3 linked regions of the Sus scrofa genome follow. The protein of the gene in region 2 interacts with the protein of the main gene of each other region in a biochemical or structural test. Links are inferred from orthologs where the notes say so. Each region holds a gene or a part of one and is shown on either strand. Other genes may lie near its edges.

Evidence for each region. The genes of interacting proteins can lie anywhere in the genome.
Region 1: the proteins of STAT2 (region 2) and IFNAR1 form a complex in vitro, tested with the Homo sapiens proteins (2 studies listed by BioGRID). The link is inferred for Sus scrofa from reciprocal best matches to the Homo sapiens genes STAT2 and IFNAR1.
Region 3: the proteins of STAT2 (region 2) and CREBBP form a complex in vitro, tested with the Homo sapiens proteins (2 studies listed by BioGRID). The link is inferred for Sus scrofa from reciprocal best matches to the Homo sapiens genes STAT2 and CREBBP.

Annotation. Positions count from the first base shown.
Region 1 is NC_010455.5:196,924,444-196,928,624, reverse strand, and holds the start of IFNAR1 (interferon alpha/beta receptor 1), read right to left. Parts: upstream 2,895-4,181; 5' UTR 2,748-2,894; coding exon of another isoform or gene 2,681-2,747; intron 1-2,680. UniProt on the Homo sapiens protein: Together with IFNAR2, forms the heterodimeric receptor for type I interferons (including interferons alpha, beta, epsilon, omega and kappa).
Region 2 is NC_010447.5:21,742,400-21,746,042, forward strand, and holds part of STAT2 (signal transducer and activator of transcription 2), read right to left. Parts: intron 3,289-3,643; coding exon 3,135-3,288; intron 2,808-3,134; coding exon 2,712-2,807; intron 2,537-2,711; coding exon 2,447-2,536; intron 2,356-2,446; coding exon 2,280-2,355; intron 1,857-2,279; coding exon 1,771-1,856; intron 1,608-1,770; coding exon 1,459-1,607; intron 1-1,458. UniProt on the Homo sapiens protein: Signal transducer and activator of transcription that mediates signaling by type I interferons (IFN-alpha and IFN-beta).
Region 3 is NC_010445.4:38,387,069-38,391,259, reverse strand, and holds the start of CREBBP (CREB-binding protein), read right to left. Parts: upstream 2,895-4,191; 5' UTR 2,693-2,894; coding exon 2,608-2,692; intron 1-2,607. UniProt on the Homo sapiens protein: Acetylates histones, giving a specific tag for transcriptional activation. Mediates acetylation of histone H3 at 'Lys-18' and 'Lys-27' (H3K18ac and H3K27ac, respectively).

The DNA.
Region 1 (4,181 bases), on a different chromosome or scaffold from region 2:
ATCCAATACTTCTATGCAGACAATTGGTTGCTTCTAACCTTTCACAGGCATATTGATGACCAAAAATGATTTACTATGTTTTTAAGCCTGACATAAATCCCAACACATATATTCATACGAATATAAGTTTCCTCCCATCTTCTGGATAGTTTTCTTAGATGAGGATCCCAGAACTGAATGTACTAAGTTTAAAAGTATGAATATTTTGATGGCTTTGAAAAACAAAGTAACATTATGATCTCAAGGTAGAGTTAACATTTCATTTAGTTTTGAACATTACTTTTCCTTTGAGAAAAAAGTCGATTAGGATTTCCCGTCGTGGCTCAGTGGTTAACAAATCTGACTAGGAACCATGAGGTTGCGGGTTCGATCCCTGGCCTTGCTCAGTGGGTTAAGGATCCCGCGTTGCTGTGGCTGTGGTGTAGGCCAGTGGCTACAGCTCCGATTGGACCCCTAGCCTGGGAACCTCCATATGCCACGGGAGCGGCCCAAGAAATGGCAAAAAAGACCAAAAAAAAAAAAAAAAAAAGTCGATTAGTTAATTCAAAGATAACTGAGCCCTTAACATATAGGTGGATAATCAAATCATGCGACCTTTAGAAAAAAGTCTAGCCTTAGGCTCCAGGGCTTTGAGGCCAGAGTCTCAGGGTTGGATTTCCCCCTACATCACGGGCTAGCTGTATGGCTTCAGTCTGCTCATCTGTAAAACGAGGATAATAGTGACTAGCTTTGTTCTGAAAGCTGAACGAGGTCATATCTTTAAAGCACTGAGAACAGCGGCTGGCACATAGTGAAGAGGGCCATGAATGGCAGTTGCGTATGAAGTTTATTTCTGCTCTCCTCTAATCTGGATTAGAACTATGATCTTAATGAATGTCCTCCTGGAATGTAAATTTTACAGGAAAATTCTGGGGAAATTTTTTTTTTTTTTTTTTTTTTGTCGTTTGTCTTTTTAGGGCCGCACTTGCACATATGGAGGTTCCCAGGCCAAGGGTCGAATCAGAGCTGTAGCTGCCAGCCTACGTCACAGCTCACGACCATGCCAGATCTCCAAGCCCCTGAGCAAGGTCAGGGATCGAACCTGTGTCCTCCTCCTGGGTGCTAGTCTGACTCGTTTCCGCTGAGCCATGACAGGAACTCTGGGAAATTCTTTTTAATACAAAGGCAAACGTGAGTTCCATGCAAAATCTTCATGAACAAAAGACTCTGAAGAAATTACCAGGGGTTATACCAAGACCCTAGTACCCATATACTATACTATATGCTGTATTTGTGGAAGAGTTTATGAAAGAGAATAAAGGAAACCTTATTTATTTATTTATTTACTGTTATTTGAGGGCCACACCTGCGGCATATGGAAGTTCCCAGGCTAGGGGTCAAACTGGTGCTGCAGCTGCTGGCCTATACCAGAGCCACAGCAATGCCAGATCCGAGCCACATCTGCAACCCACACCACAGCTCATGGCAATGCCGGATCCTTAACCCACTGGACAAGGCTAGGGATCACACCCGCATCCTCTTGGATACTAGCTGCGTTCACAACTGCTGAGCCACAAGGGAACTCCAGGTAACCTCATTTAAAATGAAGTCAGAAGGCCAGAACCTGGGAGTCTTCAGGCACTTGCCCTCACCATCAACTACAGCAGCCAGCCATAACGTCAATCAATGTCAATTACATCCCTCGGCAGGAGGAACTGTCCTCTCCCTAACAAGCCCGGCCAACGGGAAACGCCAAACTCTCCTCAACCCTTGCTTTCATCCAATGAACTTTGCTCAAAACAACCCCACTGGACTTCCTCCTTTTTCTCTGTAAAGTAACATTCTTCTTTTTTTTGGTTGTTGGAATTGCGTATGATTTTTGCTATAGCTTGCTTGTCCCAAACTGCCATTCCTCTGCTTATTCTGGAAGAAACTCATTGTGATGGTAAAATAACTGCCCGTTTTATTTTTTAGGACAAGATCGGATACCATGTACCCCAGAAAATCAGGGTCTGGTTTTCTAAGCAGTTAAGTATTTTCAAGTCCTCCAGGTGGCCTCACCAACCCCTGGACTCCTGCTCTCGTTTGCCAGGCCCTGTTTGTGTGTGGGTCCTCCTCCTCCTACAAAGTCAACCTTATCACAGCTGCATTCCCCCACCCAACCCAGCTAAGCCAAGAAAGACAGCAAACGAGCCTGGTGACTCCCAGCCTTTGCATTTTGGCTGTGTACTTTTTCTTTTATTATTACTTTTTTATTAGACTGTACGAACCCTGAGGGCAGAGAAATCCTCCCACGTAGGACCAATTAACTATTTACTAAGTGGAGGAAACGCGTTTCAAGATCGGCAGCATAGCTCATGGCTAAAGCCTTTATTATTATTTAACGGTCCAGTCGAGCTACCGGATTTTTCGGAAAGAAAGAGACTTCACCCCAAGGATCAGGCACACCCAACCCTGCGGGGGTGGGAATCCAAGGAGCAGGCACAGGGCAGAAGTGATGGCAAGGAGGACGCCCCCAAAGGAGCGGTGTGGAAAGATCTCTGACGTCACTTCTTTGTCGAAATGTGAGCCCTGAAACTAGAGGCCTCCCAGAGGGGATGTCTGTCTCTCCCACCCACTTCCCCTGGCCGAGGTCTCCCATGCCGCCGCCATCCAGCCTCGCGCCCTGCCCCCCACCTGCGCCGGGACCCCTAATTCTCACCTGCGGGCAACACCCACGGAGCCCCAGCGACCAGCATCAGGGTCGTCGCACCCAGAAACCCGAGCATCGTCCGCGGGCGGCCGCCGGCCCTTCCAATCACGTCTTCGGCCACATCAGGAAGCGCGGCGCAAGGGAAACTTGGGTGCACAGGCCACCCCCGGACCTGGGACCCGTGCGGCCCTGTCCCCTCGCGCCGCTCGCGCCCCGCCCCTCCACAGTCGCCCCGCCCCACGCTCATCACCCCCCGCCATCGACTCCCGCGCACGCGCCGTGCCTTCTGCGCGTGCCACCGTCCGCGCACGCGCGTGGGACGGCAGGGGCCGCCCAGACTCCACCGCCTGCCCCCCGCCCCCTTTCCGGAAAGTGACAGCTCACTTGCTGTCCACCCTCGCTTTCCGGGAAGACTGCGCGTAACTCGAGGGCTTGACCCTGGCAGGAACGCGGAGATTCGCCAGTGCGCCTGCGCAAATTTCGAGGCGGGTGTTTCCTCCCAACCCCCTCGCTAATTGCAGCCGGCGGGCAACCTCTGCGCTCTCTGCTCGCACCCTACTGTGCCCGGTCTCGGACTCCGGAGTCTGGCAAAGCGGTGTTGGGGCGGATTTGGTCCTAAGGGAGGAAGCAGTGGGGAGAGTTTCCGAGCGGGCCAGGCCATTTCCTTTGTTCTGAGCGCTGTGAGCAAAGTGCAGGCGCCTCCGAGTGAAGCCGAGACGCGTTGATCTTGGCCTGGGGCGCAAGGGCCTCTTTGAGAAGATGGTGACGGCTTCTGGGCTTTGGGGGTGGTGTCCAGAACAACGCTCTCCAAGCTCTTTTGATCTTCTGCCCTTATCAGTAAAAGGTTTGAGTCCATCATTCAAACGGTTATTTAAGCACCTTAATAATCAATTATGTATCTTATAAAAATTCGCAAAAAGGGAGTTCCCGGCCTGGCGCAGCAAAAACGAATCCGACTAGGAACCATGAGGTTGCGGGTTTAATCCTTGGCCTCGCTCAGGGGGTTAAGGGTCTGACATTGCCGTGAGCTGTGGTGTAGGTCACAGACACTGCTTGGATCTGGCGTTGCTGTGGCTGTGGCTAGGCCGGCAGCTGCGGCTCCCATTCGACCCCCAGCTTGGGAACCTCCATAAGCCGTGGGTGGGGCCCTAAAAATAAAAAGCAAATATAAATAAATAAACTGTTTAAAAAATTAAAAATACTCAAAAGGGAAAATATAAAGGGTGAAAGATGAAATAAGCAAATGCTTAGCTGTTAATTACAACTAAACAATTTAATTATAAATTGTAAGGTTAAATGAGTATTTGTAGAGAACTATGGGCTTGAATATTGCCTTATAAAAACTTTGAGGTATAATTTACATACTGTGAAATTCATCCATTTTAAGTGAACAATGACTTTAGTAAATTTATCCAGTTTTGGGGCCTCATTTTTAAAAACATTGGATTATTATTTTGTGACTCATCAATTTTCAGGTTTGATTCTCAGTTTGTTAGTGTTTTGCTTTAAT
Region 2 (3,643 bases):
TATAATAAATTTTCTCATGAGAAAATATTTAAATAATAGTTATCTTTCAAATATGCTGAAGGATACTTTAGTTATTTTTTCTGTCACAATAAAATTAATATAAAATAGTTTACTGGAAAACAATAGCAAGAAATTAAAGACAACTTAGGAATTCCCCTGCAGTGCAATGCGTTAAGGATCCTGTGTTGTCACTGTAGCAGTTTGGGCCCCTGCTATGGCTCAGGTCTGATCCCTGGCCTGGTTGCATGCTAGCTGTGGGTGTGGCCAAAAAATAAATAAATGAATGGATGGGAGTTCCCACTGTGGGAAAATGGGATCAGTGGCATCTTGGGATCACTGGGATGCAGGTTCTATCCCCCGCCCAGCACAGGAGGTTAAGGATCTGGTATTGCTGCAACTGTGGCTTGGATCTGATCCCTAGCCTGGGGAACTCCATGTGCTGCAGGTGGCAAAAAAAAAAAAAAAAAAAAAAAAAGGAATGAATGAATAAAATTGTTAAAATAAAAAAAAATAAAAACAACCTAAGCATTCAAACATAGTTCATTAAATTATATTACTTCCATGAAGGGAGCTATGATACAGCCATTAAAAGTAGATATAACAGGAGTTCCCATCGTGGCGCAGTGGTTAACAAATCTGACTAGGAACCATGAGGTTGCAGGTTCGGGTCCTGGCCTTGCTCAGTGGGTTAAGGATCCAGCATTGCCGTGAGCTGTGGTGTAGGTCGCAGACGTGGCTCGGATTCTGCGTTGCTGTGGCTCTGGCGTAGGCCAGAGGCTACAGCTCCGATTCGACCCCTAGCCTGGGAACCTCTATATGCTGCAGGAACGGCCCAAGAAATGGCAAAAAGACAAAGAAAAAAAAAGTAAATATAGCATACTGGTAAATAAAACAAACAAACAAACCCACAGGTCTCAAAATAGTATGAATAGTATGATTCAGTTTTTTCTTCTTTCTTTCTTTGTTGGCCACATCCACAGCATGTGGAAGTTCCTGGGCCACGGAGTGAATCTACATGACAGCAGTGACAATGCCAGATCCTTAACCCACTGAGGCACCAGAGAAGTCCCAATTTTTGTTTAATGATATTATAGAAACTTTCTGGGTATAATAATAATAATAAATAATAATAATAATAATAAAATAATTGGCATTATTTGCACTAAAAAAAAGTTAAAAAGATATTTCTCAGGTGATTAAACAGGAAGGAGAAACTGGATTATGGATTAATTCATTGCTTTCCCCAAAGCAAAGACTGGGCTCTGGGCTCCCTGGGTGGTGAGAATGAAGAGCAGAGCAGAGCTGCAGTCAGATAAGGGAGCTGGGTTCATTCTGGGAAGCAGAGATTAAGGAGGGCAATACTTCTTGTCATATACAGGGCATTATATCCTACAAAGCACAGGGGGGTAGTTAGGAATTAGGGCTGGGTGAACGCGACGGCGGGCAGGTGCCTCTCACCACTTCTCCAGCTGCTCCAACTCTCCATCCATGGGGGCTCCAATGCAGGCTTTCTGCTGCTGGACTTTCCACTCCTCCAACTTGGGCAGCAATAGCTCGATTAGGGTAGTTAATCGGCCTAGCAGTGCCTTGGAGGCATCCAGCACCTCCTAGAAAGATGTAAAGTGAGTACCAAGAGCTTCTCACCATCACCCGCCACCAACCAACTAAGGATGAAGAGACAAAGAAGCCTGGGCTAGGAGACAAGAGCTCCCAGATGCCTCCTTTTCCCCAGTTTCCTGCTGCCCACTCCTTCTGTCCTCTGCTTCCCACCTTTCTCCTTTTGTCCAGTTCATTGAGAGTTTCCTGTAGAACTTGCTCCTGTCTGGTCCGATGGGGGTCCAAAGAGTGTGTCTTCGCTGGATGGCAGGAGCAGGAGTGAGACAAGTACTCAGATCTAGGGATCCTCCCCCGCTCCTTCCCAACCCAGACCTCAGTGAGAGTCAGGAGGGGGGTAGAAGAAGGGGAAAGCAAAGCGCACAGGCACCTCTGGGCTTTCAGGTGAATTCTGAATGGTCTTGCTAGAACCAGAAGTCCACTCAGTCTGATAGGGCAGTTTCCCAAGCCTCTCCTCCAACATTCACTAGCTGTTGCTCAGCCACACCTCCAGCCTGACCTCTGCAATATATCCTAGCACTTCCCGCTTTGCATGGCAGCAGGACCATAACCACTGAGATGTAGCCAAAGGTGAGTATTGCTTACTGGAGCTTTTCCCTTCTGCTCTAGTCTATCCTTGGCCTCCCAGTAGGCACCTTATTCCCACCCCTCAATGTACTTCCTACCTGAGGCCTTGATCTTATATCGAAAGCAAAAGATATCCTGCTGGTCTTTCAGCTGGCTGATGGATTTCACCAGCTTCTGCAGAGGAGATGAAACCCAGATGAGGCTGCTTCTGTGGGAAGAGGCAGGCTGAGTCCTGCCCACCCTGGCTATTGCCACATCTACCAACCTCCATCATAGCCCTTAATTCCAGGATCCGGGACTCAATCTCATGCTGCTGGTTCTCCCCAGGTGCTTCAAGGGCTGGCTCTTGTTGCTCCTGAAATAAGAGGTTCTGAGCACATTTCAATGCTGTCCTTTCCCCCCTGAAATCCAAGCCTGAAATTATACCATAGGATGTGGAGGGATCTTGTTCTGAGATACATTTCCTGAGTCCTTTGCATGGTCCCTCTCTAATCCAAGTGCTTTCAACATCACCACCAAATTGTTCTCACCAACTGAGCCCTCTGAGCCTGGATCAAAATTCTTTTTTCTTCCAAAAGAAGATTAAATATCATCTCAGCCAACCGAGTAGGGCCCTGTGGAATGGCCTGCCAATAGGGGAAGAGAAAGGATTGATTTAACTCAACTGCAATGAACTACCACCTCAGATCCTCCCCACCAGTGACCTCAGTATTTCGCCCTCCTTCAGGGTCCCAAGCCTTGAAACACTGGTGTCCCAAATTCTAGCCTCTTCTGAACAGGGTCATCTAGACTCTGCCCGTCTCTCTGCCAAGTCCACACTCTGTCCCCTTTTCTCCAGATCTTTCCCTGGCCCTTTGAACCTCCAGGTCTTGTTCCATGGTCCATACCCTAAAACATACTCCTCTACGCTCAGTTCCCATTCATATTTTGTTATTCCCAGCTCCTCCAAGTACCTGAATGTCCCGATAGAATTTTCGCAAGTTGTGCTGTAGCAACAAACACTCAGGGTCCTGGCCACAGCGGCCACAGTCATAGTTCAGTTGGTCCAAGAAGTGGAAGAACAGCATGTTAGCCTTGGAATCATCGTTGCCCAGTGCAGCTTCCTGCCTGGAGACCAGGAAGGACAAGGATTAGTATCTCTGCAGGATTTTTTTTTTTTTTCAAATGGCTGCACCTGCAACAAATGGAAGTTCCAGGCTAGGGGTTGAATCAGAGCTGCAGCTGTGGGCCTATACCACAGCTACAGCAATCAATGCCAGATCTGAGCCACATCTGCAACCAGCCTATGCTGCAGCTTGTGGCAATGCCAGATCCTTTATTTATTTATTTATTTATTTTGTCTTTTTGCCTTTTCTAGGGCTGCTTCCCGTGGCATATGGAAGTTCCCAGGCTAGGGGTCTAATCAGAGCTGTAGCCGCCAGCCTATGCCACAGCCACAGCAATGCGGGATCTGAGCCGCATC
Region 3 (4,191 bases), on a different chromosome or scaffold from region 2:
TTTTCTTTTTGCTATTTCTTTGGGCCACTTCTGCGGCATATGGAGGTTCCCAGGCTAGGGGTCTAATTGGAGCTGCAGCCGCCGGCCTACACCAGAGCCAGAGCAACTCGGGATCCGAGCCGCGTCTGCGACCTACACCACAGCTCACGGCAATGCCGGATCGTCAACCTACTGAGCAAGGGCAGGGACCGAATCCGCAACCTCATGGTTCCTAGTTGGATTCGTTAACCACTGCGCCACGACGGGAACTCCTGCCCGGTCCAATTCTATCCTAGAAGCCACAAACCCATATCTCCTCATTTAAATGAGGCTGAGTCTCTCGAGAATGTTATTCTCAGGTCTCTCCCCATGTTTCCATTTAACAAAATGCCTTCGATCCTTTGACTGCGTGTAATCTAATCCCTTTAGTCCTTGCTTTGCCTTGACAGACATCCTTAAGCCCTGCTTCAGACCAGCAGTTACGGGAGACAAGGCTGTACCTTGCTTCATGTGCTCAGTGAGGGCCCTTCCAAGGCCCTGACACTAAGAGACCCTCTCACAGGGACATGATGGTGCCGAACGCGCCACCAAGGACCCGACACACATATAAAGGTGAATTTATTCTTTGGATTATTTAAACAGAGCTGTTAAAACTGACTTTTTTGTTCCACATTTGGAAAAGCAAAAGAGCTCCAGTGCCTCAAAAGGATCAAAATTAGAAAGGGAAAAAAGTGGTCAAAATCCACCCTTTCTGATAAATTTTACTGTGATCAGCCACACATTAAGTAGATATCTGACCATCCAATAACAGAAGTGCCCCAAGAGCCAGTCCTTTGGGTGCCATCTTGAAAAGAGGTACAAGTTTACAGTGGGACAAGCCTTTCTGCTACGTCTCACGTAACTCCCTTGTCCCTCTGTATAAAAAGCAAAGTCTAAAATAACCTCAATCAACAACAGCAAAGCTGCAAAGCCATTCAAAAGTTACGTTTCAGAGGACAAGCTTCAAAGCAAACTTGTCCAGTATGATCTATATTTCATATGATTAAAGATTTTTCACTCAAACATGCCAAGATTAATGGAGCCAAGATGAGCTATTCTGCAGTAAAATCAGAGTTTTTTAAATGCAGTAAAATCAGAGCATTGAAATCATGGTTGTTCTCACATTTCTCATTTCAGATAAGCTGATTTTACAAAATTAACATCAAACACAACACTTCATCAGTTTTTTTTTTTTAAAGAAGAGTATTATTGGTGACTTTTATACACCATGAGACTTAACTGACTCTTCTCCAACTGTTTCAACAAATTTCATTTCAACTAGACAAGAATCTCATGATTTTTTTTTTACACTTTCTCTCAATTCTACATTAAAAAATAGTCTAGGAATTGTAGTAAAACTGCAGCCACAAAACTCAAGTTTTGTTCCAACAATAGCAATAGATTTTTAGACCACTAGCAGAAAAACGCTAGTGGTCAGTCACAGAAATGTTTGCACAAGCTGAACAGCTGTGTCTACTGCAAATCTGAAGGCACTGCTGCAGCAATATAATTCAATTCTGACCCATTCATTATAAACTGATTTACAGATGCTGCTACTGCAAGATCACAGTGGAGAAATGCAAGCTGCGCTGGGGATCAAATCGTTCACCGAAGCGCACAAGTTTTTAACGCAAAGGAGAGCTCTGAAAGAGGAAATACAACTAGTTCATAACGCTACCATGAACCAGCCCAGAAGAACCTAAAACTATAAATGAATAGAAAACTAAAACACTTCCCTTAGGTAATTGATGTGATCACCTAAGAAAGTTTCCAGGGAAGATGTTTAAAACAGTGAATTTATTCAGTATCCTACCGAAAAAACTAGGGAGGAAGACTGTAATTCCCCCATTCCTTAACATATTTTTTCTTCTTACATCTTCACTGTAAAAGCAACACAAGCTCACTTGCAGATTGCAGCCCGGATCAATCTGCTATTTAACTTTCTTCCGAAGTTACAGTCTTGAAATTAAACACCCCACTTAGGACGTCTTCCGAAGTTTGGGGCTGTGAAAAATGGGATAGCTCAGGAGACCAACAACAAGAGTTTTCAAAGTAACTACTAAGCATTTTTCCCAAGCAGCACATTCCAAAAAACTTCTAAGTCGTAACTCAAGAGGCTGGCTGCAGCTCTGCGTGTCTTCTGGTTGCCTTGTGAATGTGCTACCAATTCAGAAAACATTTCGGGTCCCCTTTGGGCTGCACGCTTTCCTTCCCTCACTGGCAAACGCACCCTCCGCTGTCATCCCTTCAAACAGCCACGCGTGTGTCGACCCACGGCGGCAGAGGGTGGCAAAGGGACTCACCACGCAGAACAAACACGCTCCGCTTTACTTTTCCCCCCTGGAAGTACCACTCGGGCTCCACGCGAGGAGGGCTCGCCAACTCCGGGCTATGCGAGCGCACCGGGCATGTGCCGCCCCACTCGGGCCCCAGGCAGTCTTCCGACAAACTTCCCCCTCCGCGGCCGGGGTCCCGGGGAAAGGGCCCCGCACGCCCGCCCTCGAGTTCGGGTCCCCCGGGGGCACTCACCTCCGGGCAGGGCTGTCAGCGACCCCCGGGGCCCCTGTTCCCGCCCGGCCCCCTACTCACCTGTGCTGTCATTCGCAGAGAAGCCGGGCGAGCTGAGTTTGGCTCGTTTGGGGTTGGGCGGTCCGTCCAGCAAGTTCTCGGCCATTTTCACCTGCTCGCGAAAACAGCCCCGAGCGCGGGCGGCGGGGCCGGCGAGGGCTCCGGGGCGGGGGTCGGCGCCGGCCCCGGCCGGCTGCGAGGGGAGAGCGAGCGCGAGCCGCGAGTCGCGAGCGAGCGCCGAGGGAGAGGGAGGGCGCAGGGCCGGGTGGGGGAGGCGGCGGCCAAATCTCAGCCACAGCAACAGCGCCCCGCAGCGCTCACCGCCCGCCCCCGGCCGCCGCCGCCGCCGCCGCCGCCGGCCGCGGCCCCCTCATCCCCTGCCCGCCTCCCGAGCGCGACACTCCGCGGCGGGGGCGCCCCGGCGGCCCGGCGGCCCCCCGGGCCCGGCTGGCAGCGACGGCGCCCGGCCGGGCGGCTCAGGCAGTCCCCGGGAACATGGTGCCGCCGCCGCGCCGCCGCCTCGCTCCCCCCCCGCGCCCCACTTAATTAATTCGCTCGCGGCCCGACGACCGGGGGGCTCCGGGCTCCGCTCCCTGCCCGCGGCCCGCCGCCGCCGCCGCCGCCGCGAGGAAAAACAATGAGCGAAGCGGGGCCGCCGCCGCCGCCGCCGCCGCGGCCCCCCCACCCCCCGTTCCGCCGCCGCCGCCGCCGCCGCTGCCGCCGCCGCCGCCGCCGCCGCCGCGGCTCCGGGAGGCCGAGCCGAGAGGCGAGCGGGGCCGCCGGAGCGGGCGCCGAGGGCCAGGCGGAGCGGGCCGGCCGGGCGGAGCGGGGTGCGCGGGCGGTTGTGGGGCCCGGGACCGGCGGGGCCGAGTAGATCGCGCTCGAAGCCCCGGTCGGGTCCGCGACAAGATGGCGGCTGTTGATTCCTCAATTAAAAAAAAAAGAAAGTTTTTTTTCTTCTCTTTCCAGAGCCTGAACGGGGAGGGGGAGGGGGCGGGGCACGCCGGTGCGTCACCCCCCCCCGCGGCGTCACCACGCACGGCCCCCGCCCCGCCCCCTCCACCTGCGCCGGCCGCAGCGGAAAGAGCCGAGCGCGTTCGGACGGAAAGGGCCGAAGGCGCGGCTGCCGTACGTCGTGCGGCCGAGTGGCGGGGCGGCTAGACTGCCCGGCGGGGGCCGGGCCTGCGGGGCGCCGGGCGCCGGGCACCGCCGCCACTTTTGTTCTGACGGCGACTGGGCGGCGAGGGGTCTGGCTGCGGCCTGGCAGCAAGCCGGGCCCCCAGGCGCGGAGTTGGCGCCGCCCGGGCCTGCCCGTCCCGCAGGCGACTCTGCCCAGTCCCGGCTCCCCGCGCCCCTGCTCCGCGACCCTTCTCGGTGACCAGGGCTGGCAGCTTCTCCCCGCCGGATGCCAGCGTTGTGTCGTGGCCTCTGCAGGTTACAGACTGCTCTTGGGTCCGCCCGTGAGCGAGTGCAGATGGGGAAACTGAGGCAGGAAGTGGCAGGGCCGAGATTCGAAGGCCTCCACGTGAAGTGAGGAGGACGCAGGACTCCTGAGCCCTTGTTCCCCAGCCTGATGCAATAGGGGCCCCAGGTCCGACACCCTCA